Linked DNA regions of Yarrowia lipolytica. The protein of the gene in region 1 purifies or fractionates together with the protein of each later gene. This does not show direct contact. Links are inferred from orthologs where the notes say so. Each region holds a gene or a part of one and is shown in the gene's direction. Other genes may lie near its edges.

The links.
Region 2: the proteins of YALI1_D25370g (region 1) and YALI1_D35966g purify together in Schizosaccharomyces pombe (affinity purification with mass spectrometry; 3 studies listed by BioGRID, with this or other methods). This does not show direct contact. The link is inferred for Yarrowia lipolytica from reciprocal best matches to the Schizosaccharomyces pombe genes cdc5 and prp17.
Region 3: the proteins of YALI1_D25370g (region 1) and YALI1_B23609g purify together in Schizosaccharomyces pombe (affinity purification with mass spectrometry; 3 studies listed by BioGRID, with this or other methods). This does not show direct contact. The link is inferred for Yarrowia lipolytica from reciprocal best matches to the Schizosaccharomyces pombe genes cdc5 and cwf14.

What each region holds. Positions count from the first base shown.
Region 1 is NC_090773.1:2,531,109-2,542,341, forward strand, and holds YALI1_D25370g (uncharacterized protein), read left to right. Parts: upstream 1-5,913; coding exon 5,914-8,073; downstream 8,074-11,233. Other genes in the region: YALI1_D25330g (uncharacterized protein), read right to left, coding at 1-1,874; YALI1_D25337g (uncharacterized protein), read left to right, coding at 2,580-3,176; YALI1_D25359g (uncharacterized protein), read right to left, coding at 3,201-4,742; YALI1_D25400g (uncharacterized protein), read left to right, coding at 8,937-10,445; YALI1_D25419g (uncharacterized protein), read left to right, coding at 10,773-11,233. UniProt on the Schizosaccharomyces pombe protein: Involved in mRNA splicing and cell cycle control.
Region 2 is NC_090773.1:3,591,777-3,602,283, forward strand, and holds YALI1_D35966g (uncharacterized protein), read left to right. Parts: upstream 1-4,764; coding exon 4,765-6,240; downstream 6,241-10,507. Other genes in the region: YALI1_D35911g (uncharacterized protein), read left to right, coding at 1-1,088; YALI1_D35945g (uncharacterized protein), read right to left, coding at 1,378-2,628; YALI1_D35965g (uncharacterized protein), read right to left, coding at 3,729-4,637.
Region 3 is NC_090771.1:2,356,836-2,366,350, reverse strand, and holds YALI1_B23609g (uncharacterized protein), read left to right. Parts: upstream 1-5,385; coding exon 5,386-5,829; downstream 5,830-9,515. Other genes in the region: YALI1_B23622g (uncharacterized protein), read right to left, coding at 2,665-4,101; YALI1_B23603g (uncharacterized protein), read left to right, coding at 5,887-5,961, 6,018-6,164; YALI1_B23579g (uncharacterized protein), read left to right, coding at 8,399-9,515. UniProt on the Schizosaccharomyces pombe protein: Involved in mRNA splicing where it associates with cdc5 and the other cwf proteins as part of the spliceosome.

The sequences.
Region 1 (11,233 bases):
TCATGGGCCTTGAGCATATGAGGGAAGGTAGCGACCACACCATCTTGCTGCAGACGAATGACAATATTCTGAAGCAGCGAGTTTCCAAGCAGGAAATCTCCGTTAGTTGCTCGAGTGTTGGTGATGAGCTTGTTGAGCTGCATGGAAAGATGGGATACAAAGCCGTAGGCCACGTTCTGGTTGTATCCACGTCGCCCAAATCCAATCTGGAATCTGTCAGGGTTGCCAAACTCGTACTCGAGGAAAGCAACGAAGCAGAAGACGTAGGCCTCCTTGACGATGGCCGAGTCGTGGTTGAGCAGATACTGAGTGCCGTCCCAAGCCGAAAGAGGTACCGAGTTGTGGGCAGTCATGTCCTGCTCCTCGTTCTGGAGTCGGAAGAAACCCTCGACGATAGCCAGACGTCGAATGAGCACGTCGGGGGAGTTGTCGTGGCTGAAAGAGCCAACACCGGCGCTTCCGTTGGCAGTTCCGCCTGTGGCGGCACCCACAGACTCGTCGGAGGAGTGCTGCAGCTCCGCGTTGTTGGCGGACAGAGTGGTAAAAACTCGACGGGTGGGTCGTTTGATCTGCAGGCCAGTTCCGTCGTCCGCAGACACGGCATGGCCGGTTTGTCCAGCAGTAGCAGGGTCAGTACATCGCCACAGAACCTCTCCAACCATATCGGAAATCTGGTCGGCGTAGTAAATGTGGGTTCCCAGGGAGATCATGCAGGCCGAAAGCTTGTCAATGAGCTCCTCGAAGGCGCCGCTGGCCTCATTGTTGGACTGGGCGTGCTTGATGATGGCAGCCTGCTTGTTGAGTAGCGATCCCAGAATGTCCATAACGGACAGGCCGACCATGTTGACTGTAGAGGAGAGCAAGGCGTGGATCAAGGCGGCAACCACGAGTTCGGACTTGACATTGTTAGGCGACATGGCCACGAGCATCTCAACCAGCGAGACGAGGATCACAAACCGGTACTGGACAGGAGCCCACTTGGCCACAATGACCACCAGCGACGTTGCCCAGTGCTCGGGCACGTTGGAGTTGATGATGTATGTGACAATGGCTCGTGTGGCACTCTGGATCTGCACCACGGAGGTTGTGTCGAAGAATGTGCGCAGGGCGTGGAACGACAGGTATCTGACCTGTTTTTCGGGCGACTCCTCGTGAATGAAGTTGTCGATGGCGTCCTGGTGCATAGAGTTTCGCTTGGAGCCTCCAATGTTGTCTGGGAGGCCTCCTCCGAGATCCAGGGAGTGGTCCAGCTGTTCCAGATCAGACTGGGACTCTTGCAGAGAGGACAGCAGAAGGTGGACAATGGGGGAAATGGAGGTGGATCCGGTCTGGGTGGCAATGGCAGCAGAGCCAGCAATGCTCTTGGCAGCTTCGAGGCCCACAATCTTCCACTGCACGCTGTTGGGGCCGTTGGGCACCTTGGCCATGTTCACGTAGACCTCGAGCAGCTGCTTGAAGGACCGCACAAACTCGGGGTCGCCCAGAAACAGGCCTCCGTCGTGGTACTGGCAGAAGAGCGCAAAGACCTTGTTGGAGTGCTGGCACAGCAGCAGGTCTCCGGAGTTGACCACGTCCAGCAGGGTGTTGACCACGTTCTGAGCAAACAGGTTGAGGTCTTCGTGGCACTCTTCGATGAGCTTTGCAAAGATGTCGAGCGCCACCATGACGTTGCCCTGGCGGCCTCGGCTCACGTCCTTGTAGCATTTGTTCTCGAGGAACGGTCCGACCTTTTCCAGCTTGACTCGTCTGTGGTTCACGTAGAAGAGCAGATACGACAGCTCTGAGGGGTTGGGTTTTTTGTCCGCGGCCTGGCCGTCGGGGTAGCACTGCAGCACCAGTCGCTGGTGTCGCGGTTTTGGGATTCCGGGCGCCATTTTGTGTGCTTTGTCGGGGGTGGTTGTGTTGCTGAAGATGAGAGATGGTCTGATGGGTTCACCGCACACGTCGTTCGCTGCGATATGCAATCTTGGACCAAAGCCTATAAAGGAGCTGTTCTTAGACACACACCCCGCGTTGAGTTTACCGGGGTTTTAGTTTTGCCATGGGCGAGAATGTCGGAGATGCGATTTGCGGGAGCGAACCGGGCGAGTTTGCATGTTTTTGTGGCGCGCAATATCCCGTTGGAGCTGCGTGCTCCGTGTTCGGGGTGCCACGCTGCTTATTCCCGCCTCCGTAAACAGCCCATGGTCCCAGCTCATCTCAATCACATGCTGGTAGGATGCACCCCTCGCTTACCCAGTCTATGCTCGAACTTTGTTGGGGGGTGGGGAGGAGTCTGAAAAAAAACCGAGACAAGAGGATGGAAGAAAGACAGACTAGGGTGGTGGTGGGGTTGGGAAAAGAAGCGGAACAAGCGGGGCATGCCACACTGTCGGTATGGAGGCAATGTTCCACTGTCCACAAGATGTTGGCCTATGAGTATCGTACAATGTAGTCGTAGTATAGTCGTAGTGGTACTACTACCCTTGTCGCGCTACACATAGCTCTGTCTTAACCGAGAGCGGACACTAAGGGTCATTTGGACAATGTCTTATAGTGATTAGCGACTGGTAAGCGAGTTTCTAGCCAGCTGTTGCGTTATGGCGAGAATTGGAGCTACGAGTAGTGGCTTCTTTGTAATTCATCCTCAGAAGCTGGCACTACTTGCACTGTACCTTCCGGCACCGGTGGTAGTAATCACGATACTTACGATAACCTGCCAGACGTCAGTTTCTGGCCCATCTGCGTTCTGCAATCTAATTACTCTACTCGTAACCCCACATCCCCACAAATGTCTTAGAAGCGAGTGCTGGGTCGGGCGGGATACAAAGAAGGCGCTGGTAATAAAGGACCAGAAACGGCATTCAAATGAGAACATCCACGCTAAACAAGACCCCAACCCCTGCTCAATACTTGTCCACCGTAGATGCCACCTCTTGTCCGTGGAACTAGACTGTTGTGCATACACTTGTTCCTGCGTCCAGTGTCAACAAGTGGAGAGGAGTGAGACAGTGATTACGATCGACGACCGACCAGCAAGTCGTAGATGGCCAAGAGTTACCATTCGGACACCGTTCAAGCCTCGCAAAAGTTCTATTGCATCTATTGTGCATTTGGACAGCGTCCGTCGTGCCCTGGTGTCGTATTGTATCGCGTATACATTCTGTCTGTCTGTCTATGTCTATATCTATCTATAAATTATGTCTAACCATGTCTCGTGGCTAAGACTTGCGATGAAACAGCTCAATCGCCAATGCCAAAAAGATGGGGATCAGCGAGAAACAGCCCGCTGTGATGAACACATTGTCAACCCCAACCGAATCCACCCACGGAGACAAGGAGAAGGACTCCACCATACAGATGGAGTTTCGGACCACCACAACAGCAACCAGAGACTGAGCAGCCAGGGACTCCTTGTAGTCGATCAGATAGGTCAATACTATGGATCCCACGCTTCCAAATCCGAAAGAAACAGCTCCAAACGCAAGAGTTGGCACCACCCAATGAACTCCTCTTGACACCGAGATGCCAAAAGTTAGCAGACCTGCCGTGACGGCCAATAGACCTGGGTAGATGAGTTTCAGTCGCATCTGTGGACTGTAGACGCCACTGTTGAGTCTTGTTCTTCGCACAATGTCCCAGTCAGACAAGTACCCGCCGAAAAAGGAGCCCATGGTCATGCCCACAAACGGAGAAATGAACACCAGACCAATGGACCAGGGACTCATGCTATAGGGGGCTTCTGCAAACTTGAGAGAAGTCACTACCGACGACATTGACAGAGCCAGCAGCAAAAATCCATAGGTGATTGCGGCAAACGCGACAATGGGCGAAGCCAGTAGGACAAACGGAGTGTAGAAAGACTTGAAGAAACTCGACCAGCCAGGAGTAACTGTGACCAACGGGATATGTGGAAACGAGTCGGTGCACTTGATGCATCCTCTGGACGCGCTTCTCTCGGTATCATACGAGTTGTGTCTTTCCATGTCGTTAACCAATGTTTCTCTCTCCTCTTCGTCACTCTTTGAAGATGACCGAGGGTATATGCTCAACTTTTGACCAGACACATGGCCAGGTTTAGTTTCTTCAAACAGAAACAAAGATGCAACCAACTCGACCATCTGAAACAGGCCAATCGCCCAGTACGCAGCTCTCCAGCCCCACTGGTTGACTATGGCTCCAGCAGGCACCAGAATGAGAAAGTTGCCCACCGAAACTGCAATGATGTACATGCCGTTGTAGGTGCCTCTGCTCTGGACCGGGAATAGGTCTGCAATCGTCATTTGGACACACGCCTCGGTCAAACTGGCAGCCATGCCTTCTAAAAACGAAACTGTGTACAGCTCATGGAGAGACGTCATTTGCGCCTGCCACAGCGAAGTGCACAATGACAGAGCCACTCCAAAGAGATAGACCGGCCGTCTTCCGAATTTGATGGCCACGGGGATCATCAGAAGACACCCCAAACCCTGGCCAGCTATGCTAAAAGCGTAGCCTCTGTTGAGCTGTTCAAACTGCCAGCCCAGATCCCTTGTCTGGGGTCCCCAGACAACGGATGCTTGACACATTGTTGCAAAAGATGTGAGAGTGAAGAGAGCGACAAAGGCGAAGTTCACCTGCTTTCTCCATGTTCTCCTCCCCCCCCCCAGAGGCTGGGAGCCGTTGGAGTCGTCTGTTTTGGATTTTGTTTCGTCGATATCGAACCGTGACATTTCAAAGCTCGTTTGTGAAGGAAGAAGAGCGACGCCATCGGAACTAGACATGTGTCAGCCAGTGTGTGTTAAATACCAATCCTGTATACCATGTATACCAGTACATCCAGCCTGTCATCCGGAGCTAATGTCCTATTGAGTGTAGACACAACAGACGGCGTAAGGCCGAGTAATGGGGTAAATCAGGGATTTTTGGAACTGGGCGTTTTTTGGAATCAATCCCATCTGCCCAGTTGAACAGTTTCCAGTCTTTTTCTCGTCTTCAAACCCGCTCCAACCACCTCAACACGACGTCACATTCCCACCCCCAAAATGTACATTTCCGGAGAAATGGGTATGCCTGAAATATGCATGATAAAGTGCGACCAGTGCGGATACAAGAATACATTAAAAGGGGGAAATTGCAGAGCTACGTGATCTGCTGCTGTATTATCGGCTTCACCGGTACGACAAGTCAGGGGGTATGTGTTTTAATAAGACCCAAACGTTTTATCGTCTTCTTCTGTGGCATATTCCTGACATTACACATTGGTCAATATAATGATACATGCAGAGCACATACAGTAACATCAGACACACGCGCGCCTTATACAAGTATGTACAGGACGAGGGTACGATACAACAGCTTCCCAGGATTCAGCACATGTTTCTGTTATCATACACGCTTCATAGTGTCTCAAAATGTCTGCAATCTGCGTTTGTATCCTCTTCCCTCTTCAGCTCATTTCAAACAAACACTGTGCGAGTTTACCTCTCGAAACGCGTCATTTGTCAAAGTTCAGACAGACCGTGTGATGGAGATGGAGGAGAGCCACCAGGAAACTGACATTTCTTACTCCCTCTGAGATGATTGGAAGGCTCGATTGATGTAGAGTTTTGTGGACCAACTGCGAGGGACAGCTCATTTCGCGTAGAAGATGCTGTATGTTCAGATATTTATGTTGGAGAATGATTGGGTCTACATAATTCACAGCAGTTCTTTTTAGAAAATTCTAATGATTTTTCACATATCTTTAATTTTTTTTTAATATATCTTTATTCTAATGGTTTTTTTTTTATATACTGTAATATTATATATTTCTTTTCCAGCACTCTACAAGCTCATATATTTGGTCAGTTCGATTCCCGTCTGAATCATTTTGATAAACTCTAGTTACCAAATATTCTGCATGAGCTCACCTCCGAACTTTCTCACCACTATCATCACACACACGAAAACATCATGGCGTACGTCAAAGGAGGAGTTTGGACAAACGTCGAGGACGAAATCCTGCGGGCTGCCATCTCCAAATATGGTCTGAACCAATGGGCGCGAGTGTCGTCTCTACTGGCTCGAAAAACAGCCAAACAGTGCAAGGCTCGGTGGACCGAGTGGCTTGATCCGACCATCAAGAAAATCGAGTGGTCGCGAGAGGAGGACGAGAAGCTGCTGCATCTGGCCAAGATCTTTCCTGCACAATGGCGAACGATTGCCCCGTTTGTGGGGCGAACTGCACACCAGTGCATTCAGCGATACGAGCGTTTGTTAGCTGAAGTTGCTGGCGAGGTGGAGGGCGAAGACGCTTCTGCGGTGGCATCTGCACCCGCCACTGAAGGTGACCAGTTTCCCGAAACCAAGCCTGCCCGGCCTGACGCCGTGGACATGGACGAAGACGAGAAGGAAATGCTGAGTGAAGCGCGAGCTCGTTTGGCCAACACTCAGGGTAAGAAGGCGAAAAGAAAGGATCGAGAACGGATGCTAGAGGACTCGCGACGGCTCAGTCAGCTTCAGAAGCGACGAGAGCTCAAAAATGCAGGAATCGACACTCGACTGAGTAAAAGGAAGAAGAATGAGATGGACTACAACGCCGATATTCCCTTTGAACACAAACCGGCCCGTGGCTTTTACTCAACTGCCGAGGAGGAGCATGAAAACGACTCGGAGCGTCTTCAACACAAACAAATGCACCGCACAGCTGCGGACGCACCTGGGCCGTCACAAAAGCGAGACAAGGCAACTTTGTCCAAGGAGGATGAGGAGAAGAAAAAGGAGCAGCAAAAGACGGCGTCTGCTCAGCGAACACTTCAACTGGCACAGTTGGACTTGCAAGATCAGATTTCCAAGCGACGAAAACTGAATCTTCCTGAGCCACAGATCCAGGATCAGGAAATGGAGGAGATTGTGAAGCTGGGAGCTCAGGGTGAAGCTCTACATAAGCGGTATGCAGACGGAGTGGCGTCAAGCTTGTCGGGTGATTACGATGACAAGATTGTGGACGACTCCATTCGAACTCCTCAAGTTCAGCAGTCGAAAGTAAAGACTACAATCGAGGAGATCAAGGCCATGGAGAACCGGTCTGTGCTTGGTAAGAGAACCGAGGAAGAGGTCGACGACGAAGCTGAAGCTGATAAAGATGGATTTGCAATCCCCAAGCTGCCTTCTAACAAGGCTGTCACTAGTGTTTCTGCTGGATCCGATATAGGAGGAGCTACTCCTGCTGGGATGACTCCTATCAAGCGGGACGCTCTGGGTTTGGTTGGATCTGTCGAAGCTACTCCTGTTTCTATTCTGCGCCAGAAACTGGCCTCTCTTCCTAAGCCCAAGAACGATTTCGAAATCACTGCGGAGGACGAAGAGGAAGATGAGGAAGCTGATAAGGAAAAGAAGCCTACAGATAACTTGCCAGTTGATAAGGGCGAACAAGCTCGATTGAAAAGAATTGCCGAGGAGCAGGAGCGACAAGAAGCTCTCAAGACTCGTTCTCAGACTCTTCAGAGAGGTCTTCCCCGGGCTACTGTTCCTGAAGTTACTTACAATGATGCTATCGGTCAAGAAGTAGTTGCTCTTCTCAGAGAGGAGGAGCTTAGGTTTCCCAATAAAGGCGATTCTGTGGCTCTAATGCAGTCTGAGTTCTCTCTCGACGACTTAGTGGATGCCGAAACTTTGATTGAGATGGAACTGATGGAGGGCGATGAGCAAGAAGTGCAGGAGGAGGATATTAAGACGGCTGCTCTTCCTGGAACAGTTGCTCGTTCCGACGAGTCCGAGGAGGAGTTCAAGACCCGTGTGGAAATCATATCCGACCAGCTTGTTGAAACGCTAACTTCTCTTGCGGAAACTTGCCAGACCGAAGAGACTGCTCTGGTGGACAAGTTTAAGGCGTATGCCAAGCGCCAGGCTACTTTATCTAAAAAGCTGACTTCTCGGTGGTCTCAACTTGAGTCTGTTGAGGTCGAGATTGCCGTGTTTTCCGAGTTAGCCCGCATGGAGGAGATTGCCATTGAGCAGCGAAGCGCGGCTCTGCAGGAGGAGGTTGACTGGCTCGTCAAGAAGGAACGTGCCGCGCAGGATAAATACCGTGAGTTGAAGGTTAAGGAGCAGGCCGCCAAGGGTGGCCATTAGGAGTCGATTAGTTAAGTAATTATTTATTGTGCATTTTGAACAGCTGATGGAGCAACAGGGCTGGTGAAGGCCTCTGCTCCGGGGTGCTCCTGCGCTCGGGTAGATACAGCACAAGTAGGTGGATCCTTCCGGAAGTGGCGATCCGGGTCGTTTAGTACTTTTTAGTGGGGAAGTGGAGAAGTTCTAAGCGAATACGTTTGTATACTTATTGACTATATGAATGGTGGAATGAGGAACGATTGCGGCAGCAGATGATGCACTTGTGATCTATTAAGACGTCAATCCTCCCCCTACGTGTGTGCTATCAGGCTACTGTTCATTTGGCCCCCAGTCAAAGTGCGCCAGAGGTTGGGCTCGACGACTATCATCGCTAGTACATACTTGACGTCTACATTTCTAATCCTATCTCTGGTCTAAAAAGATTTTCCGACAGTCGATTTATAATACAAGAGCTACGAGTATGTATATAACTACGTATATACTCGTGTAGAAGCGGACCGGAGGCGGGGACTCAACGTACTAATTTGGACTGACGAAGTTGGAGAAGCTGTCGTTGAGGAGTGAGACGTTGCGCAAGGCTGCAGATACTTGAGAGCATGTCATTATATAAGACTCCACAGTATCTTCTTGGCTCTCGTATGGGACAATAACAGACCAATACTGTCTCTATCCATTCCGGGACTACACATGGCCACAATGTTTCACCAATAAGACTGTGGTTGGACCGCTAGACTAAAGGGCGGAAAAGCAGTTCACGCCTGAGGGGTCATGATCTCGCCATTTAATGATTAAACACGACTTTTGATATCCAGGCGTATATATAGACCTGTCTACTCGCTCAATCTGTCTGTATACATGTCAGCATGGATTTTGACAACTTCCCAGCACCAGATCTGTCTCCAAAGAACATCAAGAGGTACCTAGTCACTCGAGTCACTTCTTTGAAGCCTCCAAAGCTCACGGTTGAGGAAAAAAAGCACATCAACCCGATTCCTGCCCTTCGACTTCTGAACAGGAAGCAGTGGTTGTTTGTAGCTGTGGGATTCTGTGGCTGGGCTTGGGACTCGTTTGATTTCTTTTCTGTGTCGCTGGTTGCATCTGAAATTGCCGAGAGTCTCCATGTGTCTGTCACAAGTATCACCTGGGGTATCACTCTTGTGCTCATGTTGCGATCTGTTGGAGCTGTCATCTTCGGAATGCTGTCGGATCGTTTTGGACGAAAATGGCCCTTCATCACCAACTGTGTCTTGTTTATTGTCCTGGAATTGGGCACCGGGTTTGTACAGACATATAAGCAGTTCCTTGCCGTCAGAGCTCTGTTTGGAATCGCAATGGGGGGTATCTACGGCATGGCAGCAGCTACAGCCCTCGAAGACTGCCCAGTACAGGCCAGAGGAGTCATTTCGGGACTGCTACAGGAAGGCTATGCATTCGGATACTTGTTGTGTGTCGTGTTCACCCGAGCCATTGCCGATACTTCTCCTTTTGGGTGGCGCGCTCTTTTCTGGTTCGGTTCGGGTCCTCCTGTTCTCATCATCATCTTCCGACTATGTCTTCCTGAAACCGACACCTATCTTCTTTCTAAAAAGAACGCAGCAGAGGCCGAAGGTATTGAAAAGAACTTCTGGCGAGGCATCAAGATGACCTTCAAGACGTACTGGCTCATGTTTGCCTACCTGGTTGTTCTCATGGGGGGCTTCAACTTCATGTCTCATGGCTCACAGGACTTGTATCCGACCATGCTCAAGAAACAGCTTGGATTCAGCGAAGACCGATCTACTGTTACCAACTGTGTGGCCAACTTTGGAGCTATTGCCGGTGGCCTTGTTGTGGGTCACGCTTCTTCTTTCTTTGGAAGACGACTGTGTATCATGATCTCTTGTGTGATAGGGGGAGCGCTGATCTACCCTTGGGCCTTTGTCACCAACAGTGGAATCAATGCTGGAGTCTTCTTTCTGCAGTTTTTTGTCCAGGGAGCCTGGGGAGTCATCCCTATTCATCTTACAGAGCTTGCCCCTCCGGTCCTTCGATCGTCAATGGTAGGGGTGGCTTACCAGCTGGGTAACCTGGCTTCTTCTGCTTCTTCAACCATTGAAGCCACTATTGGAGAAACATTTCCCCTTTATGACAAATTCGGAAACGAAAAACCAGGAGTGTACAATTACAGTCTGGTGATGGCCATTTTGATGGGTTGTGTCTTCTTTTTTGTGCTTTGTGTCACGTTTCTGGGTCCAGAAAACAGACAGGCAGAGATGATCTCTGGAGGCTCTGAGCAGGATAATGCCTACGAGAGGAAGCTCGAAGAGATGGAGGACGAAGAGAAAGGGGTCACTGAGAACATTGAAAGACGTTCTTCGAGCGATACTCGATAATTGATTAATGTAGGGTGTGTGTGTGACGAGTAACGAGTACTACCTGTGGTTGAGAGTATGAACAAGTAAAGTACATCCTGTAGTCAATGAGCGGTCAAGTATCATGTTGCAAATTACTTGGCTTCTTAGTTTGATTTTTAATTTCCCAACTAAGAGTCCAATTACACTCTGTCTACTATGTTCTTATCACATCAACAATAAGCTCTCGCATACAACAACTCAATCAGCAACTTGTAAACATCGATTCGTGCCTACTGCTGAACACACTGCCAGCTACTGCTTGCAAGTGCGGAAACGACCCCAAAACACCAAGAGCGTCTTGCGACCATGCCAAACATCATCTGGATCCCGTTTCGGGAGACACAAGCTGTCGATCTAATCACAGGACTGGGCGACACCATCGAGAAGCAGCTGAACCAACCTCGAGACAAGTTTACAGCCGACCTGAAAACAGCCAACGACCTGCGTAACAACATTCTCAACCCGCAACCAAACGCCAGCTATCTCGACCACCTCACCAAGTACTACGCCCAATTGACATACTGGACTACCAAGTTTCCAGCCGGATGCGATAGCCTGGAGTTCATGTGGTACGGAACTCTGGCCTACACCGCCAATGCCGCCCCCGTCATCAGTCAAAGCCTTCATTTCGAGCGATGCAATCTTCTCTACAACCTGGGCTCGCTGTACAGTCAGATGGGCGTCAATGAGGGAAGGCAGGACGCAGACGGTCTAAAGATGTCATTCAATTACTTTCAAATGGCAGCAGGATGCTTCCAGATTCTCAT
Region 2 (10,507 bases), about 1.1 Mb from region 1:
TCTGTAAGTACTTTGTGCAGTTTGGAGAGTGTTTGCGGGCAGATTGCAGATATTCCCATGATCTGACATCACGTGTGTGTCGATTTTGGGTCCGTGGCGCGTGCTTGAATGGCGAGACTTGTGCCTTCCTGCATTCCTTTCCAGAGACCGAGTCTACTCCAGAGCCCACAAAGCCTCTGGAGAACTTCTCCAAGCCCATGCTTGACTCCTTGGAAGATTTCCCCACTCTGGGAGGAGCAAGTGGAACAGCTAGTGACACAAAGTCCAAAAAAAGGGAGAAGCCAGGTAGCAAATGGGCAGCTGTGGCCAGTTCTAATGACACACAAACTGTTGCTGAGAAGCCCAAGAAGAGGTTTGATTTCAGCAAGGTGAAGCCTACTGAATCTTTTGTGCCTGGTACTGCTGGTGTCCCTTCTTTTGTGCCTAAGGCATTCACTCCTACAGCACCTAGTTTCACTCCTACCGCACCTAGTTTCACACCTGCCAAAATTTCGCCTGCCAAAGGACCGGCAGCTCGCATGGCTGTGCAAAAACACAACCCTCTGACTCTTCTTCGACCAGAATTCACTCCCTGGGTCGAGAACCCTCACCAGCTGGACGAACCTATTCAGGAGTACCTGCAGCTTCGAAAGGAGAGCAGAAAGCATATTGAGATGCGAAACAAGTATCTCAACCTTTCTGCCGATAACTGGCATATGAACCGACCTGATGCTGCCAAGATATACTCTAACAAGGGTCAGAAGCACCAGCAGGAACTCATTGCAGCCAGTAGAAAGGCCTCTGACATTCTCTACAATTACCGAGATGACCTTGGAGAGATCTTCTGTGACCTTCATGGGCTTGAGCTTGATACCAGTGTCATGCATCTGGAGAACATTCTTCTGGGAGTCGAGGAGCAGTACAGAAAGAATAAAAAGCTGGTGTATGCGATCTCTGGTGTGGGTTACCATGTTGTTTCCAAAACAGACATGTTGACCAAGGAGGTGAAGGCCTGGCTGGACGAGTGGGGCTATGAATACAAGGTTTTTTTCATTGGCAACGAGAAATTCGGAACCGTCATTGCCATCGATCCTTGGTCCCATATCTAAATCAAATAACAAAAAAAAATCAAAAAAGAAGAAAAATAGTACACGTAGTTCTAAGCACGAATTATTCTACTAATGTGGCGCTTGTACAAGTATAAGTACTGTACAAGTAAGTAGCCACTGTACACATACCGTTACTGTGTGTGTGCGCATACAATACCTACTGCAGACGGCGGTAATTGTATACAGTACACACAGACACACCCTTGAATTACGTGAACAAGCTCATATAGCCGCCTCTCTTACACGCAATCGCGTAAAAAAATGATACATTCATATATTTAATTATCTCTTAAGAGTCCTCCTCGAATCTAATGCCCTTTCGTCTTCGCACCTTCTCCTCGGTCTCGGTGGTGATGATCTCCACATCTCCAGCAGCGTCAGTCACACCATCCTCCTCGACAGTGACCACCACATCAGTGGGCTTGGTGACGGTGATGAGCTCAGCAGTTCGCACCCATCGTCGTCGTCGGGTGTACTTGCTAAAAGAGTCGTCTGCAGTAGGTCGCTTCCATGTGTTGTCATAGTAGATCCATCCCTCGGAGGGAGAAGGATCGGGCGTGCTCAAAGCCTTGTTGCCAATAATGACCAGGGCGCCATCGTTGGTACAGTCCAATCGCCAAGTAGGATCGACCCACTGCCACTTCATGCCGGTGCCCTCTGTATCGGGCAGCTTGAACTCAGAAGGAGGAGTAACCTCGTTGAGGAACTCGTCGGTCCAAGGAGTTCGCTCGTAGGCCAGAAGGTTGGCGGTCCAGCCAATACCGAGCCATCGTCGTTGGTTCTCATACAGTACGTAGGTGAACCGCACGGGCTTTCCGTCCTTGGACTGCACCGACAGGGGCGATTGGGTGAATCCAAAGGCGCCCAGGTTTCGCTTTGTGTTGGAAAAGTCGAGTCCAGTGAGGTAGAAGGTGACCAGTCTAATGGCCTTGGACTTCCAGATGACTGCTCGTGTGACTCGGGCAGCCATGGAATGGTAGGTGAGGAAGAAGACGCCGGTAGTGAGCAGGAACTTTCGGGGTCCAAGGAAAAAGTAGGCACCAAACATATACAGAGGCGATAGGAAGAGCGTGGTGAATGCCAATCGGGTCACATCTCTGGGGGTCAGGCTCAGAGAGGTGATTGGAAGCAGCAGAAGATTTGCCTTGGTGGTGACATTGGTCAGCGTGTGCACAATTGCATCCAGAGAGGGCTCCGATGTTTGCCGTCTCTCCACACTTTGTCGAATGTACACAAAGGCCCAGATGAAGCCCACGGCAAGAATGTGACCACAGTAGATGACCAAGTATTCGTAGTACATGACCACGGTCACGTAGACGGCCACCAACAGAAAGCTCTGCCATTGATCATCCTCAGTCCATGTCAGCAGACCCAGCACCTTGTCGCTGGCCAGAATGTATGGGTATGCTTGAGCTAGTGCCTTGGTGACTGTTGGGGGAGTGGAAGACAGCAGGGGACTCATTGATTGAGGCTGCGAGGCCGTTGAGGGAGGGAAGGCCGCGTGCGTCGCACTGCTCTTTTTCTTCTCCTTATCCGACATTTTTGCTGTTTGCCGCTGTGATTGTAATGTGCTCACAGGCGTAGTGTGCTTGGTCGAATGGGGTTTGGGTGGTGATGTTGCTATGAGCACGCTTGCATGATGCTCACAAACTTTCACACTGTGGGGTACAATACGCACTACAGTACTGTAGGATGGGATGACCACCACGAGATGGCAATTAAACTGTTGGTACACAAGTTAGACACCCCACTACCCTATAGCACTTTTTAGATCAAGACCCCTTTTTGTTGAATTTCAAGACTGTCTGTGGCGTCTGGGACCGTTGTACACCTCGGGCGACCTCGGCTAGATTTTCCACCCAAGAAGTTCTCTACCCATGCGCGATATCCGAAAGAAGTTGGCAGGCGCGTCGGGAAGGTATTTCCTTCATAACTTGTTGACTTGAAAGTATTGTCTGCCCTTACCACATTCAGCATCAGATCAATTGGCCCTCAGTTTGTGTAAACAATTGCCACAGTTAACAGAAGTCGCTCTCATTCTCACCCCACACCGCATACTATCTGCAGGCCCTGACTGAATGTGCAAAATTACCTTACAATTTGGCCCTTGGCACAAACCCGGAGAAGTCATTTTGTGAACCTTGATGATATCGGTGGGGTTTGGGCGTATAATCACTTTGATGGCTTAGTCAGCCGTCAGATCAGGCTTTAGCGTGGTAGTCTTTCGGTGTTACTTGGTCCACACACAGATGTATGCAAAGAAGCTGGGTGGCGAATGTCTTGAGCAAATCAGCTACTGTAAGCGTATACGTTGTGTTGTAGTTGAAAGAGTAAAGGATGTGCACAATTCAAGGGAAGCCACAAGGAAACTGGTTGTATCATAAATTTGTTTTTATAGTCACGAAATACATTAATACTTCTAAATTCTAGTTATTGGCCATCCCAAAAGTGTCCTACTACTCGTACCAAGCGGTAGTAAGCTGCCACAGTCACCTTTTACATCGTTCTCCAATCTGGCTATGGGGGACCAATCTATCTGTGCTCTCGCGATTGTACATACTGTAGCACTGCAACATGAATGAAGTTATCTTTAAGATACTCGTACTCGTACTCGTATTTGTAGTGGTACTTGGACCCTGTTTAAGGGGCAAACTCAACCTCCATCTTGGCCACAATGGCCTCCAGATCCTTGGCCTTGAAAAGCATCAAGTGACCCTGAGGGAAGATACCATACTCCTGGAAGGCTCGCTTGGAGTCAGCCTCTTGGGAAGCCTTCTTAAATGCGTAGGAGCCGTACTGTGTACTCTTCTCCTGAATAACCTCATCCTCGGGATGGAAGTAGTAGGTCTCGGGCTTGTATCCGGGGCCCTTCTTGTTCTTCTTAGAGGGCCGCTCGTCCTCCTCGTCCACAGAGGTCTCGGCCTCAGTGAAAGTCTTCGAGAGCACCAGGAAGTAATCAAAGTCCTGATCCTTAGTCTCATCAAGAAGCATCTTGTACATGGGAGGAACGACCTGGACAGGCATGTTGATGAGCCGCTCAGAGATGATGAGACCAACCTTGGAGGTGGAAGAGGGGCCCAGCAACTTTCGCATCTGCTTGTGTAGCTCGGGAAGGTCCTGTGTTCGAGCGACGAAGTAGTCAATGAGAGCAGCAATAACTCCCTTCTTGTTGTCCTTGTGTTTGGACATGTTGATGACTGTGAGGATGGCGAAGGGATCGGACTCCTTTCCGTCGGTCTTAATTGTGGTTCCGCAAGACTCCTGCTCAAGGATCATATCGGAGAGCTCAGAGAGGTTGAACGAGGTTGAGTCAGAATCCAACAATTGTCGCAGCAGATTTCCAATGGCGTGGTAGTCAATGTCCTTGTTGAAATCAAAGTACTCAAAGTCCACATCGATGGTATCAGGGACCTCCTCGTCGTCCTCCATGGTCGGATCGTCAGGAGAGTCGGGAGCGTAGGAGTCCTCTTCGAGGTAGGACTCGTCGTATTCGTCTTCCGACGAGGTCTCGGCGGGGTGTTTCTGGTCTTCGGCAGCTCTCTTGGGCATTATTGTGTGTCGTGTGTGTAAAAGCTCGTCACACGGGCAAAAAATATTTTAGATAAAGTACACCCGAAGCTTCTTCGAAAGTCTTAATTTTTATATGCATGAACATTAACCTGACATCACAGCGACTATGGCACTCCTCAATGCGGCCCCCCAGGCTGACGAATCGCCCGAAGAGGCCCAGCTGGTGCACAAGCCCGCGCAAAGAAGCACTCTAGCCGACAACACACCGACCGGCCATGCACAGAAGGAGGCGTTTGACGCATCCACGTTCCGACAGCAACACCAAGATTTCAAAAGCACGGGAGTGGCGTTAGATCCATCCATCGCCACCCAGGGCCAGCTTGTACACAACCAGCATGTCGGTGGAGACAATACACAGAACAACCGGCCGTTAAAACGCCACAAAAAGGGAGAGGTGGGTGTCTTGGAAGGCAAGAAGGCATACAAGGGACCATGGGCAGCATATGACGACGAAGAAAGCACTAGTGAGGAGGAAGAGGAGGACGACAGCGTGAATGACGTTGAGGACAACACCAATGTTGTCATTGCAGATGCCGAGACTGAGCCTGAAACCGTCAAGGAGAGCTCTATTCTACATGTCAAGGGCAAAGACTACCTGGGACGATCTTTCATGCACATTCCCCAAGATTTGGGTATCAAGCTGACACGTGATCCTGGGGAGAGCGAGTGGCATGTTCCTACCCGAAAGGCCCATACGTATACTGGTCACACTGGTGGTGTGAACGCACTACGTTTGTTCCCCAAGGCTGGTCATCTGCTGTTGTCTTGTGGTAACGACTCTAAAATCAAGCTATGGGACGTTTACCACAAGCGCGAGCTCATCCGCACATACTCTGGACACTCGCGTGCTGTTAAAGACATATCTTTTAACAATGATGGTACGAGGTTCCTGTCTGCATCATACGACAAGAGTGTCAAGTTATGGGATACAGAATCAGGGGAGTGTCTGGCTCAGTTCTCCACGGGCAAGATCCCCAACGCGGTCAAGTTCAACCCCAACAACAACAATGAGTTTCTTGCTGCCATGGCTGACCGTAAGATCATCCATTGGGACATCACAACGAAGGAGACTATCCAGACGTATGACCATCATCTGGGACCTGTGAACACAATCACATTTGTGGACGAGAACCGGAGATTCATGACCACATCAGACGACAAGACGGTGCGAGTCTGGGATCTCCAAATTAACGTCCCCATCAAATATATTGCTGACCCTGCTCAGCACTCTATGCCTTCTGTACAGATTCATCCCTCTGGCAACCACGTGGCTGCTCAGAGTATGGACAACCAGATTGTGGTGTTTGCTGCCAAGGACCGGTTCAGACAGAACCGAAAGAAGACCTTCACAGGTGCATCTTCAGCAGGATATGCCATTGAGGTCAATTTCTCGGCGGACGGCAAATACCTCATGTCTGGAGACACAGGTGGAAATGCCTATTTCTGGGACTGGAAGACTTGTAAGCTCAAGAGTAGCTTCAAGGCCCACGATAGTGCCCTTCGGTGCATTGCTGCCCACCCCCAGGAGAGCAGCAAACTGGTTACTGCAGGTAGAGGCAGTGAGATCAAGCTATGGGAGTAGGAGAAATGTATTTGTACACTAATCGATATACTACAGTTTCTACTTGTAGGTAATGACTGGGGTGGAAAGCTCTATACTGTGCACTGTATCTGTAGTTTAGAAGTGCTGTAGCCTGTTAAAACAGGGTGCAGTACGTAGAACAAATATTTTTGCAGCTACTGCACAGTATGAGTACAATTGCCTGTTGCGCCGTAATCACGAAACATACGAAACACTATTACTGGACATGGAGTCTCAGGTTTTGTGCCCATGTTGTAGTAAGAGGCACGTGTCTCATGAGGCATTAATCGCATGCAAGTGACAAATAGATGACTGAATAGGCAATCGTAAAGCTATATATCTCCTCATGAACATCGAATCGTGCACAAGTACACGGTACAGTATGTACAGTATGTGGTATATTGTACACCTTGGCACCTTAGTACAAGCTAGTTTAGACCAAAATCGGACTGAGAGGCCTGTTGGGGAACATTTGTAGTTTATAGCGGGGGTAAGACAAAGAACTCTTGTTTTTCCGATCTTGAGAACCTGGTAAATGCATTGCCCCTCATTTGAAGGAGATCATTTTTGTCCAGTGAAATTAGCACGTCTTTCGTGGTGGCAATAATGCCGATTTATCCATCATGCCTATATCGCACTCCGATAACACCAGCCAAGAATTCTACTCACGCATTTCACGTGTGCTAACCGTATTTCATTGGGGTGCAGCAAGCATGCGGCCAACCTTCAACTCCAAAAATCTCAGCTTCCTCGCCGACAAGCCCATGAACCCGACACAAAACGCGCCTGAATGGCTCTTGTATCGCGACAGCGACTTCGTCAAGATTGGCGGGGTCCAGCGGTATAAGATCACCTACACGCCAAGCGAATCGCCCATGAACTCGCCCATCAAACACCCCGAAGACATGACACCCGAGTCCCCTCTGGGTCACCCATCGTCTTTGTGGCTCAAAATCAGAAACACAGAGTCTATGCCGATGCGAGCAGCATATCTCACGGGTCCGTTTCTCCTCTACGTTCACGTGGTTCCCGAAGCATACAACCAGAACGAGCAGTGCTACGTTTCGGCAGACCAGCCCTCTTTCGAACCGCAACTCAAGGCGGGCCAAAACTACTACGTGGAATTGCATATGAACAAGCTACAGGAGTCCTACACGTGGACCGTGGATATTGTATCTCAGATAATCTTTTCTGCTTCGGCAGAGATCAACTATGAGATTCTGGTGGGTGAGACGCGTGAACACCTACACCGGTACTCCGGAAACGCCATGGGAATGCTCTCGGACTACATTACGGTGCTACGACAAGACACAGTGACATTATGGCACCAGCCAGTGCCTCGACCGAACGAACCCGTGCATCTCGTTGTGATCACGCATGGATTGCACTCAAACACGGGAGCTGACATGCTTTATCTGAAGGAGAAGATTGACGAGGCTGCGCTACAAACGGGAGAAAACGTCATTGTGAGAGGTTACCATGGAAACGCCGCCAAGACCGAGCGGGGAGTTCGATACCTGGGTCGAAGAGTGGCCAAACATATAATGGAAGAGCTGGTGACCAAGGACACTGCCAAAATCTCCTTTATTGGCCACTCTCTAGGAGGTCTCATCATGATCTACGCCATTGCATACATTCGATCCCATGACCACACGTTTTTCGATCGAATCAAACCACACCATCTGATTACGTTAGCCTCTCCCCTGCTGGGAGTCAGCAATGAGAACCCAGCTTATGTGCGGCTAGCACTGGACATTGGTTTTATTGGCAGAACAGGTCAGGATCTTGGTCTTACAAAAAAGCCGCTCCCCGGATACAAGCCTCTGCTGAGAATGCTGCCTACAGGACACACACACGAAGTGCTCAAACAGTTCCAGACTCGAACAGTGTACGCCAACGCCCTTAACGATGGTATTGTGCCACTACGAACATCCGCATTACTCTATCTGGACTGGAAGGGTCTGAGTAAGGTTGCGTCAGCCAAAAAGGGTGATGACAATGGATCTAACGATAGGGACCGAGGGGGCCCTGGAGGAGATGGAGGAGACAAGGGAAGTAGTAACGAGAAAGATAAGGAGAAGGATTCCAGTGATACTGGTAAACCCACGGGTGATATCAACGCCACTTCTGCTGAAGAGGCCAAGGTCTACGATGAGGCTTCCAAACAGGCTGCTCGCGATCCACAGGCAGGGGAGATCCCTAACTCTTGAAGACAGCCAGCAGGCAGTCAACAGACCCAGGAGGTTCCTGCTGGGAAAGGGCATTTTCCATGGAATCCAGGCTGCCATGTCTCTTATGATCCCTCACGGACACAGAAAGAAACCCTCTAAGATCTACTTGCGGTCTCAGACGAAAATGTCTGACGATGAGGACGAGGGAAATATGTCTGACTCTACGATGAGACCTCCTCCCAAGAGCTCCGTGATCGAGTCAGCTGCCTCTGTTCTGGCCATGCCTCTTCCCTCTCATAAGTTCATCTGTGACCCCGAATCGCGTGCTGAGACTATCATTCACGACCGTGTCTATTATGAGTCCGATCTTCCTCCCCGTCGGTTCAAAAAGCAAAAGTCGCTCAATTGTATCAGCGATGGAGGCGACAAGCATCTGGTGGAAAAGGCAAAGATGGAGGAGCGTATCGCCCGAGAGTATCACCACGAAATGTCGTGGCGAAAGGTGCTATGTCGACTCGAACCTGATGCTCACAACAACATCGTGGTGCGACGAAGATTTGCTAACGCGTTCGGCTGGCCCGTGATTGATCATCTTGTCAAAACACACTTTATTGATAACCAGCCCCATCCCGCCAAGGCACCCAAGCAGAAGGAGCAGCCTGCTGTTCTCGGTGTTCCCTCTGTTTTTACAGGCAAGTTCTCTCCTCCTCTTTCGGAGGTTAACTCCTCTACAGCATTGCCATTGCATCTGCCCGGGGAGGTTGCCGAGCCTGCCTTTTTTGAAATTTCGCGACCCGGGACTCCTGGGAGTCCTCGCAGCAAAAACAGTCACTCGTCAGAGTCCATCTATTCGGTGGGACAATGGCACAGACACCTAGAGGCTGAGAGTGAGACTGAGGGAGAAGACGGTCTGATCAACAACGCCAACAACCTTCTTGACGGCGTGAGAGAGTGGGATGCTCAGAAGATACTCCCTGCCTCGGTCTACAACTCTCTCTACAACACTACCAAGCAGGTTGCCCCTCCACCTCCTGCTCCCTTGGAACAGGACACTATTGAAGACCGGTTTAATGAGATGACTCTTGGTACATCCACGTTATAGGGCAATGGACAAGGACCACCAGTGCATATATGTACGAATCAGCTTAATCATTAACAACAATGCATTCTCTCTGACCCTTATAAGTACCGCCGGTACTGTACTGTACTTGGATGTACATACTGACTTACAAGCGTAATTACGGTACTGTACTGTACTGTGTGTATTCAATGTTAACGTTCACATTATTAAAAGTCTGTTCACGTATGAGTTTCTTCTGTTTGACTCTGGGGCCACTTCTATCATTCGCGTGCCTTAGACTGATGGCTATATAATTACTGTATGTGAAAGAAAGAACCTAAACTGTGTGATATATTAGGGAACAAGGTCCCCTGCCTTGAACAACGTATCACTCGTTCGATTGTTGCTTGTACTTGGCCTACATATCCGGCCGACCGTTATGCGCGTCTGCAGACGCACATATCGGGACCTCGGCTGATTAATGGCGTTGGTGATAGTAAGAATGAAAGAGAGAGAGAGATAGAGAGAGAGTCGCCTGTTATTATATCTGACTTGGTACTCTCTTCGTGGATTGTCGTTTTGTTTTTCAGCATATACTGCAATTTCGTGTCCACAGCAGCCAGGTTCTAAAGGTGCCTCCTACCCATCGACTTAAACTCACAACATAGTGTTTCATTTAAGCCTCCTCCTGTTATAATAAAAAAAAGTAAGCCATTCATGTCGGTTGTTACTGGAGACAAAGCACAAGAACTGTCGATCACTAGGGAGGCTAATATGTTTCACTGGCTCCAACAACCACCGTTTTTGCAACTTACGTACAGTACAGTGCTTGTACTTTTGCCAAATATATTAATTTACTGCAGTAGTATCAGGATCTTACCGAGCTTGGGGAGGGAAGTCACATTCAAGCTGTTTCAGACCTCGCAATTCAGTCAATTGGCGATCCACAGGTCTACTGTACATTGTTACTGTATTATGGTTCTGTCGGTATCTCCTCCATGTGTTCGTGACCTACTCCGCCTTTCCTGGTAACGTT
Region 3 (9,515 bases), on another chromosome or scaffold:
CAACGTTCAAGTCGCGCGAACTTATTCCCTTATTGCCACTTTGTGCGCCAAGTCTTCCATACACACTCTGTATAAGCTTACAGTAGGACAGACAAGATCTATGGCCGGAGAATAGGTTGAGTAGGGTACAACTACAAGGTGAGCAAGGTGTGCGAGGTGTATACAAGGTGTACAAGAAGGTGGCAGTCTTGTTGAGCATTGGATTCGTCTTGCTTGTTCTCCATCTGGAGGTGTTACCGGGCTCCCTGTCGATCTGTTCAATGTGGGCATTTGTCACGATCCGCGGACGCCACGGACCTGGGGACTAGACCAGTGGATTGCGGACACCCGCAAACCCCCAGAAATCAACTGCTGGGGCTTCTTCTCCGTTCCCTTTTCTCATTTTCAAGCCCAGCATGAACTCTGTTGACGAAGCAACATAGCCCAGATATGCAAGCGGTTTAAGTTGCGGTTAGGGCGGCCAGTAGATACTCGGGTCCAGCGCACCGAGCTGGTCCGGAATGGAGGCGGCTGGGGCGTTTGCCGGCAGGGTTTCCAGCTCTTTAATGTCGTTTGGGCGGCTTCCAGATGTAGTAATACTCGTCGCGCTTGTATGCGGTCATTAGCTCCTGCAATACTAGTCTAAAAAACACGAGATTTGACAGGTGTGATCCCATGCCCTCTTGCACACTTTGTCGGACTTCAACTTTGCGAAAAACAGCGTTTCGCTAAGCCCTGGTGCCGCATGCTTAAAGGTGGGCGGGTTTTACGGTGGAGGCAATATTGGCCCGGAATGAAGACATGTGCGCGACCCTGGAGAATACGAGTACAGGGGACATGTTTGTGGAGACGCAGGGAGGGTGCTGATAAGCGAGGACAACCCACAGCTTGACCAGAGCGTGCCCAACAGGCCCCGATGAAAAGCCCTTCATACAAACCTCCGAACAAATCATAACCTACGACCGGGCATTATCTAATACTGTTTGCATGTGTACAGACAACCCTATCTTTGTATGTCACTGTCAACGAGCTTCCAAGGAGTTGTAGAGGAAGTCTATCGTGAGAAGCGGCTGACAAGAAGACGGGTGGAGGGGAGCCGGGAGTTTGTGGGGGATTTGTGTGACAAAAGAAGAAGTTGAGAAGACATAAATTCTCTCTGAAACACCAGGAATCCATTCATATACTCAGCTTGTCTGTCCCAGCTCCACGAAGGGAATTGTAGACAGCTCCCCTACTCCGCCTCTATAAGCATTTACTTAAGAACGTTAAGTAAAAGTTAACTTATGGTGAGCTTATCCAAGTAAGTTGGAGGGTTGTTGTCAACAAAGACTCCAGGGTCCAATTCTAATCCTTCACAGCAGAATTTGCGGCGTCATGGTCTGAATTTGCACTGACGTGTGTCGAGTAGTCTGACTTGGAACTGGAGAGAGGTAGTAGACCTGTAGTTAGCACCGTTAACACAGTGACAGTTATGTGTTCCACCAGAAGCGGATGCTACAAGAAGTCGTACAGTACGAGTACCTTCCCCCGACGTCTCTTTTCGATGCCAGAATCAACCTGTCAAAGTTGCAACTGTCTAGTTCAAGTATAGATAGTTTTCTATTAGAAATATCAATCTCAGAACAACTCTTGCAATGGGGTATTTCTTCTGCAGATTTTTGCTGGAATGGATAGAACCGACTAAGGAGATCACATTGGCTGTCTCTATCACCTTCCAAGTCATCTCTATCTGACATTGGACGACAAGCGATGCAGTAGGTAGTGTACAATTCAACAGGAAAGTAGTTAGTGACTCCAATTGACCCAAAATTACAAGAATGTTCTCCAAAGTAGATCCGTTATACCCAGAATCGTCTTCTGATCAGTTTTATATACCGTCAGAACCCACAAGTTGTTTAAATCTTGCTCAATTGATGATTCTTTCTAGGTAGCACAGCTGATGTATATACTGACTAATCACTCAGATTGAGTTGAAATATCCACCAATTATGACGAGTATGGCACGAGTGTACAAGTATGTACCGATAAAATTACTGTACCAATGCAACTACCAACGAGTGCTTGTCTCCAACAAACATTCTGACACCATCTCTGGTCCATGGCTGCTCACCGTTGGACAAAAACAAATTCTGCCGCTTCTAGACAACGAAGATTCGGTCCGAAATCTTCTCCTCAGAAGAGACACCCGAATTCAGATTTCAGCTGTCTGTCTCGATGCCAAATTCTACTGTTGATAACCTCGCTCATGGGGTAAACCTTTTCAGACCACCGCCGATATAGGTATCAAGGGAGGAGCTTGCGATGAGCCGCTCCAGACGGTAGTATTCTTGAGTCTGTAGCGTTGCTTATCGCATGGATAATTACAAAACCGTTGGGTTGTGAATTAGTCTATAGTCGTGATATCAGACAGATGGAGAAAATTAAAGAAAAATAAATAAAAGAAAAATAAATAAATAACTAAACTAATAGAAATTACCTACTTGTATTTGTTTCACCAATGCAATCTCCTTTCAAAAATGTTCAATAAATAAATACTTTCTATATCGACAAATGCAAACACCAGACATACGAAGTCTGCGAAAGACCAGGGCAAGACCAGGGCAAGACCAAGGCAAGACCAGGGCAAAACCAGGGCAAGACCAGGGCAAGACCAGGGTAAGACTAGGGCACGACAAACGACCATAATCACAACTCTCTCCTCAAACCACCATTGTGCTCACTGCGCCACGTGCGCTGCTCCTTCACTGTCTTCACTCTATAGTTGAAGTCGCCAAACCGCTGCTCCCGTGCATCATAGTAAAGATCATCGTCATCATACAACTCCTGCTCAGACACAGGCTCAACAATGTGGGTGGCGAGATCGGTGGCGCCGTAGTCACGTGCCTTAGAAGAGTCGTCCTCGTTTCGCCACTGGTCGAACGAGTCGTCGATTTCGGCGATCGACGCAATCTGAAGCAGCTGATCTGAAGCAGCGACATGCGACTGCTGACCCGCAAGCAGCCCGCTGTGTTCTGTGGCGTCACGTGACGACGACGACGAGTCGCCGCTGCCCTCGTGGTCATCGCGTGACTCGTCCGACAGCCAGTATTTACCTCTTCCTCCATCCGTGTATCTGAGGCCACTCATGATCTTTCTGACTCGACTGTCTGCATCTGGGTGGTCCACAATGACACTTTCCACACTGTCAAAGTTCCTGTAGGTGTACCCTTTTCCCCAGAAGGTGCTCTTGAAGTCATACATGAGGTCTCCGATCCCCAGCACGTCTCTGAGAGCCAGCCAGACAGGTAATCGGGCAAATCCACAGTCTCTTTGGCAGTATTCGTCGTGAGGAAAAGCCCACATGTGCAAAAGAGCAAAGGGAGTCATTTCCAGACACATGAACCAGTCCTGGAGGGGTGCGGAGGACTCCGGCTGAATAATGCCCATCAACTGAGCCAGTGCCAACACCACCCCTTGCCAGTATGAGAAGAAGATGATGAGTTTGATGCACAGAAACTTGGGCCAGGGATTGTAGGGTTGCAGATCTGTATGGAGACACATCCAGAAGATTCCCAAGGCGTACAGACTGAGTGAGACACTAACGTTATAGACAATACCGATCCATGTGTATCCACTAGTCAGGCTGATTTCCCCTTGTTTGTAGACTCCCAGAATCTTGCAGATAAAGATGGCCACAGAAATCACTGGTTTGATCCACACGTACTGCAGTACCGCTCGTTTGACGGTCAGAAATTCGTGAGGGTCGGAAATGTTGACCTTTCCAAACAGAGTGTGGAGAGGAGCTCGTCCCTGGGTGGTGAAAATGATGTTTCGTTCGCCGCCGAGCAGATTGGTAAGCAGCGAAAAGAAGGTGTAGAGGGTGAAGGCTTCGTAGATTTCTTTGAGAGCTGATAGCACAATGTTGAAGCGGGCCAGAGGTCTGGAAATCTGGTCCTGGGTCTCCAGAAGAGACAGCCATGACGAGAGCGCAAATAGAGGAACCAGAAACAGAATCCGAATCACCAACCGCTGGTCAGCGGGACGGGTGTATGTGTAGAGTTGTAGGAGAATGGATATTGTCGAGATGAAAATGGCGATAAACGTCGACCATGTCGCCACGTTGATGAGATATTGCGGTAACATTGCGTCACTAGTGTTATGTCACTGTTGTTGTGAGTCCGCTGGATGGGTTGCTGTGATGACTAATACCGTGTTGTAATTGCTGTTGTCTGTGTCGGCGCTGCGTTGCCGTGGTTACCTTTGAATGGGAGGGGGGCGTGTTTTTAACCGGGCTCGGCCGTAACGTCGTGGGGCGGCGTCTGACTACGCCTAGTCTGATCCCGTGATGGTGTAGTGCAGAAGTGTACTTTTTTCTACTGCTGGATAATATAGGGGTTGAGTTTGGGAGTTGGGGGAGGGTGGCGACAAAGTGGAAAAGTAACAATTTGGGGGAGATTTTGATATCATCAGAATCAGAGGAATGGGAAGAGTTTTCAGATATAATTGGATTTTCTATTGGACTATTATTGGGTGTTTTATATGGAGGTTGTGGGGAGAGGGATGGGACTGTAGTTGGGGACCAATAGAGTTACTCACTATTACTTGGAAAATTACTTAAACATTGGGCGCGTGGAATAGTGCTATTAGATAGACGTTCAACAATTGGAAATGTAGCCAAAAAGTGTTGTATATATAACTTCAAATATGAATATCATAGGGCTATCTCTTCAATTCACCCACTGAGTCATGTTCGGTTGCTTTGGGTGGCGAAAACAGCAGAAACAGCAAGTCTAGAAGAAAGAGAGGGAGAGGAAACTGGAACAATCGGACACACTTCAGAGAAGATGTCAACAGCAATGATACCGTCTGTAGCCTCATTTTCTCCTCTTCCACCAATGATTTTGACGTCAGTACCTTATCAGAAATTTTCTGTTGATAATAGCTTCACTGCATGAGAGTCAGGTCCGTCACAACTGGGTATATTTGTATGGGATCAGGTGCTAAAATTCTTACTGTAGCATTACAGTCACTCTAAGAAGATAATGGGCCAAAAATCACTCAAATAGCTCCATTATTGGCTACATTAGATCCACCCCTGTTTTCCCCCTATGTAACTCAAATGCATTTTAGCTGCAGCAAAAAAACCAACCTCCAAAAAATCATCACCACTTTCCAAAACAACCAAAACAGCAAATTCTGATCCGAACCTCAGAAAGCACAAACACGTGACGGACTCGGCGATACCTAAATCACGTGAAACACCATAAGGGAGCCGATCGAAACCCCTGACGCGACACGAAACTCCAACTGCATTTATCGACCATCACATCACATCCACAACGCCACCACCTGGATATTGATCGAAGAGAAAAAGGGGCGCCAGATACCACCTGAAACCTTACTAAGCATCATCAGACACCGCACAAAATGGTGAAAATCCGCACTTCACGATCGAAAGCGCCTCCAGCTGGATTTGACGACATCTCCGATATTCTGCAGGAGTTTGGAGACAAGCTAAAAGACGCCCAAAACGCTCCAACCGAGGGAAAGAAAAAGAACCAGTTGTTATGGGACATTTATCGCATCCATCACCAGCGGTCTCGATATGTCTATGAGTTGTATTACAAGAAGGAGGCCATCACCAAAGAGCTGTATGCATATCTTCTGAAGAAGGGGTATGCCGATCAGAATCTCATTGCCAAGTGGCGAAAGCAGGGATACGAGAATCTCTGCTGTTTGAGGTGCATTCAAGGAAAGGAGAACATTCACGAAGGAACTTGTATCTGTCGGGTTCCTCGAAAGGATATCAAGGATGACAAGCCGGTGGAGTGTGTGACTTGTGGGTGTCGGGGTTGTGCTTCGAGTGATTAATCGACGAGTGAATGAGCAGTGAATCACAGCCACTAGTCGCAGCCTCGAGTCACAGCCATGAGTGAATCAACGAGAGTCCCAAGACTGGGATACAGCATTATCAGGTTTGGCAGCTGCACAACAGCTACCATTGTCTGACTATTGGTACAGGGCTTAGTTACTGAGTATCATGATACAGTCTGTCAAAGTTTGTGCCAGTATCTTTCGCAGCTGGAGGATACGACAGCCAAGTACCACCGACCAACCGACAGACGGATCTCCTTGGGCTCATACCGTCCCGGAGACAATGGGTGAACTCCAAGAGAAGGAAAAAGGATACCGTTAAGACTTTGTAATATAACTTATGGACTGGGGATGATTCCAGTAGAGAACGTATAGGCCCTGGAATATGATGTAGACGACTGTGATGGGAAACATGATCTTTGCCGAGTTTCAATGTTTCAATGTTTCAATGTTTCAATGTTTCAATGTTTCAATGTCTCCACCTGCCCACCTGATTTGCAAGGTGCCATCTCCGACACCCTCAGGACAGGAGTAGAGTACTGTACTCCAGCTCTGCGGATTCAGCTGAAACCAGAGATACTCGCGGGAGAGACCCTGCTTCAACCCAAGCAGGACCTAGCTCAAGCTTGCCCTGCAGGGTTCAGATGTCCAGAGGTGTAATTTTCTTGCCCTACAGAGTTCGGAGTTAACATTCCAAACTCAGCCTTAACGCCGATTAGCTAAGTTGCTCTCCTTTAACCTCACACGACATTGCAGTGTGGGACGAAATACCCTTCCCTTGTCTTTACAGTTGGTTTTGTGTCTCTGCTGTTTGTGTCTAACGTCCGACTCGTTTCGCTTGAGTTTTCCGCCGGTCATGTGACCGTTGGAGCTTACCTGGGTGGGACGTTGCCATGTTGGGGTAATGGACCTGGGGTTTGGCAATTTTTATTCCAGCGGGGGATAATTTGGGGGTACCTGAATGGCCCAGACCAGACTGCTTCCCCATCGGTCGCCTCATTCCGGGGTTGTAGTCGAGATCAGAACCCAGGACCAAAAAACAACAGTCAGAACCCAATAGCTTAAAAATGTGGACCGAACAGGACGTCGGAGATAAGCAAGATGGCCACAATATTGATCTCGGACAGACAAGAAATTAACGCCGTTAGCTTTGGAAGACACTGTTTACTCAATACCTGAATTTTTGGACCCTTCTGGCCCGTTTCAAAGGGACCTACGCCCTGCAGAACAGTCTACAGTGGTGCCAATGCTAAACGAGCTCTACTACGATTGGAGGAAGCAGGAACCGGGGAGTAAGACATTTTTCGCCCAGATTCCGCACCATTTGATTGCTTTGATTTGGTCAAGTCCAATTCTGCATTCCGTCAAAGTGGGGTGTAGATATATGTGGGGAAGTCATCACCCATACAGAAGAGCTTCTAGATCTCAGGTATTTGTGGTTCCAGACTAGAAAATCGTGGCTATACTCGAGATTCAATTTTTTAAGACTCGCCAACCTCTATCGCCTCACTTACCACTATACCCACCTAGCTCAAGCCAATCTTACCCACTGATAGGCCTGTGTTCAACTTTACCACGTCCCGATCGGGGTGTGTTTCAAAGACAATTGGTGTATTATTTCCCACTAAATGGGTCTTTTTCACCGATTGTCGATCTGCCGCTCATTCCGAAAGCGCGGCGTCCAAAAATAGCCCGATGTTTGAACATGAACAGAATGCATCGAATCATGGGCAAGAAGCGATGCCGTTTGATACACTCATTAAATCGCTCTAAGACTTGTCTACATTCCCACACAAATGCCCCACAGTATTACACCAGAATGCTAGCGGAGAGATCGACGCTACTTGTAGCTCCTGATCTAAGCTCCGGACCAGATCAATGGTTTTTTTCTTCTTTTTTTTTTTTTTTTTTTTTGGTATCAGACTGCGACTACAAGCGCAATACCACAAGAGAACTCTCCCTTCTTTACATTCTTTCTTGTCCTTGTAATTCCACATTCTCACTCTCATACCGTCCCTGAACACACTTCCAGTGCATCTCGACAAGATTAGTGGGTGAACAAGTTCAAAAAGATGGATGACTATGCCATAAAACCGGCCCTATGCAACAAAACCGATCTTATGCAATAAAACCGATCTTATGCAATAAACATGCCTATTATTCAGCTCAACTCCACTCACTTATTACCGACGAGACGACCATGTCCCAGAAGCGAACCCATCCACAGATGAGACAAGAACTCAGCCAAATAGCTGCAGTACTTACTTAGACACCCCTCTCCATGATCACCCTCATAATTGTAAACACAATAGAAGACTGAGAAGCAGTATCCAGTGTCTACCTCGAAAAAATATGGGCTAAACTGGTCTTATTCCTTCTTGGGAGGTACTTGGGAAGTTCTCGACCAAGTCTTGTACATTCCAATAATGAAATGGTTCGGATATGATGCCTGGTTATTCAAAATCTTGCGACGGCTCAAGTCTCGCATCTGTACATATAACCCAGGAAGTTCCCTTCTTTCTTCCCCAGAAACAACAAGTTCATACACTCACCAAAGTCTTTCCATATGAAGTTCTCTGCCTTCGCTTTCGCCTTGTTGGTCCCCATGGCTATGGCCCTCGTCACCGACGACCCCGAAGCCCTCAAACAGCTCACCTACCCAACTGTCTTCGGAGGCGCTCCCGATTTCTATTCCAGCCCGGAAATTGCAGCCTCGAACATTGTGTCGTCGTTCAATACTTGGCCTCAGTCCAATATGGCTGGTGCAAAGATTCCTGCTGCCGCTGACCTCGCTCTCAAACCCGACAACGAACATCTTGTGGAGGCCCTCAAGCTTCAGCAGGAGTATGTCGCTGCAACTAACAAGCCCGATTGGAGAGTCGCTGTTCAACCTCTTGATCCTAACATCCGAGAAGTTTCTCAGTGGTTGATTAATCAAGGAACCCAACCCCCCACCGGCTCAGACTACGAGCACGCGGCTCGTAATGTCTATCTCATGTACGAGGCCCAGATCGCAGCTGCCTACACCGAGCAGCTGGGTCTTGCCCAGATCATTGTCGACTCTCTGCCTGTCAAGCCTGTGAATCCTGAGGATCCTACCAACCCGGACGAGAAGCCTGTGAATCCTGACGAGAAGCCTGTTAATCCTGATGAGAAGCCTGTGAATCCTGATGAAAAGCCTGTGAACCCTGACGAGAAGCCTGTGAACCCTGACGAGAAGCCTGTCAACCCCAATGACAAGCCCGCCAACCCGGACGACAAGCCCACCAACCTTGACCCTTCCGTCATTGAAGATCTTGAGAAGGAGCTCAAATACATCGAGGATGTCCAAAAGGAAATCGAAGATAAACTGAAAGAAGCAGCAACCACCGATTCTGAATTGAAGGGGAAGATTGATGATTTGAACAAGCAGATTGAAGATCTTAAAAAGTTGATTAATGACCTCTCCTCTCCTTCCAAGACCGTAATCGACTCCAACAGCAGCATTGCTGACCAGACCTACGCTCTGTGGCAGTTGGTGCAGGAGTTGGCCGACAAGGTGGCAAAGGAGGCTGGTGATAGCCACTCCGAAGAGCTCCAGAAGCTCGCCGAAAAGCTTCAGACTCATGCTGATTCTCTCCATGTCCTATGGCTCCAGCTCCTGGGTGGCAACGCCGATAGCAAGGAGGACTCCCCAGTCGACA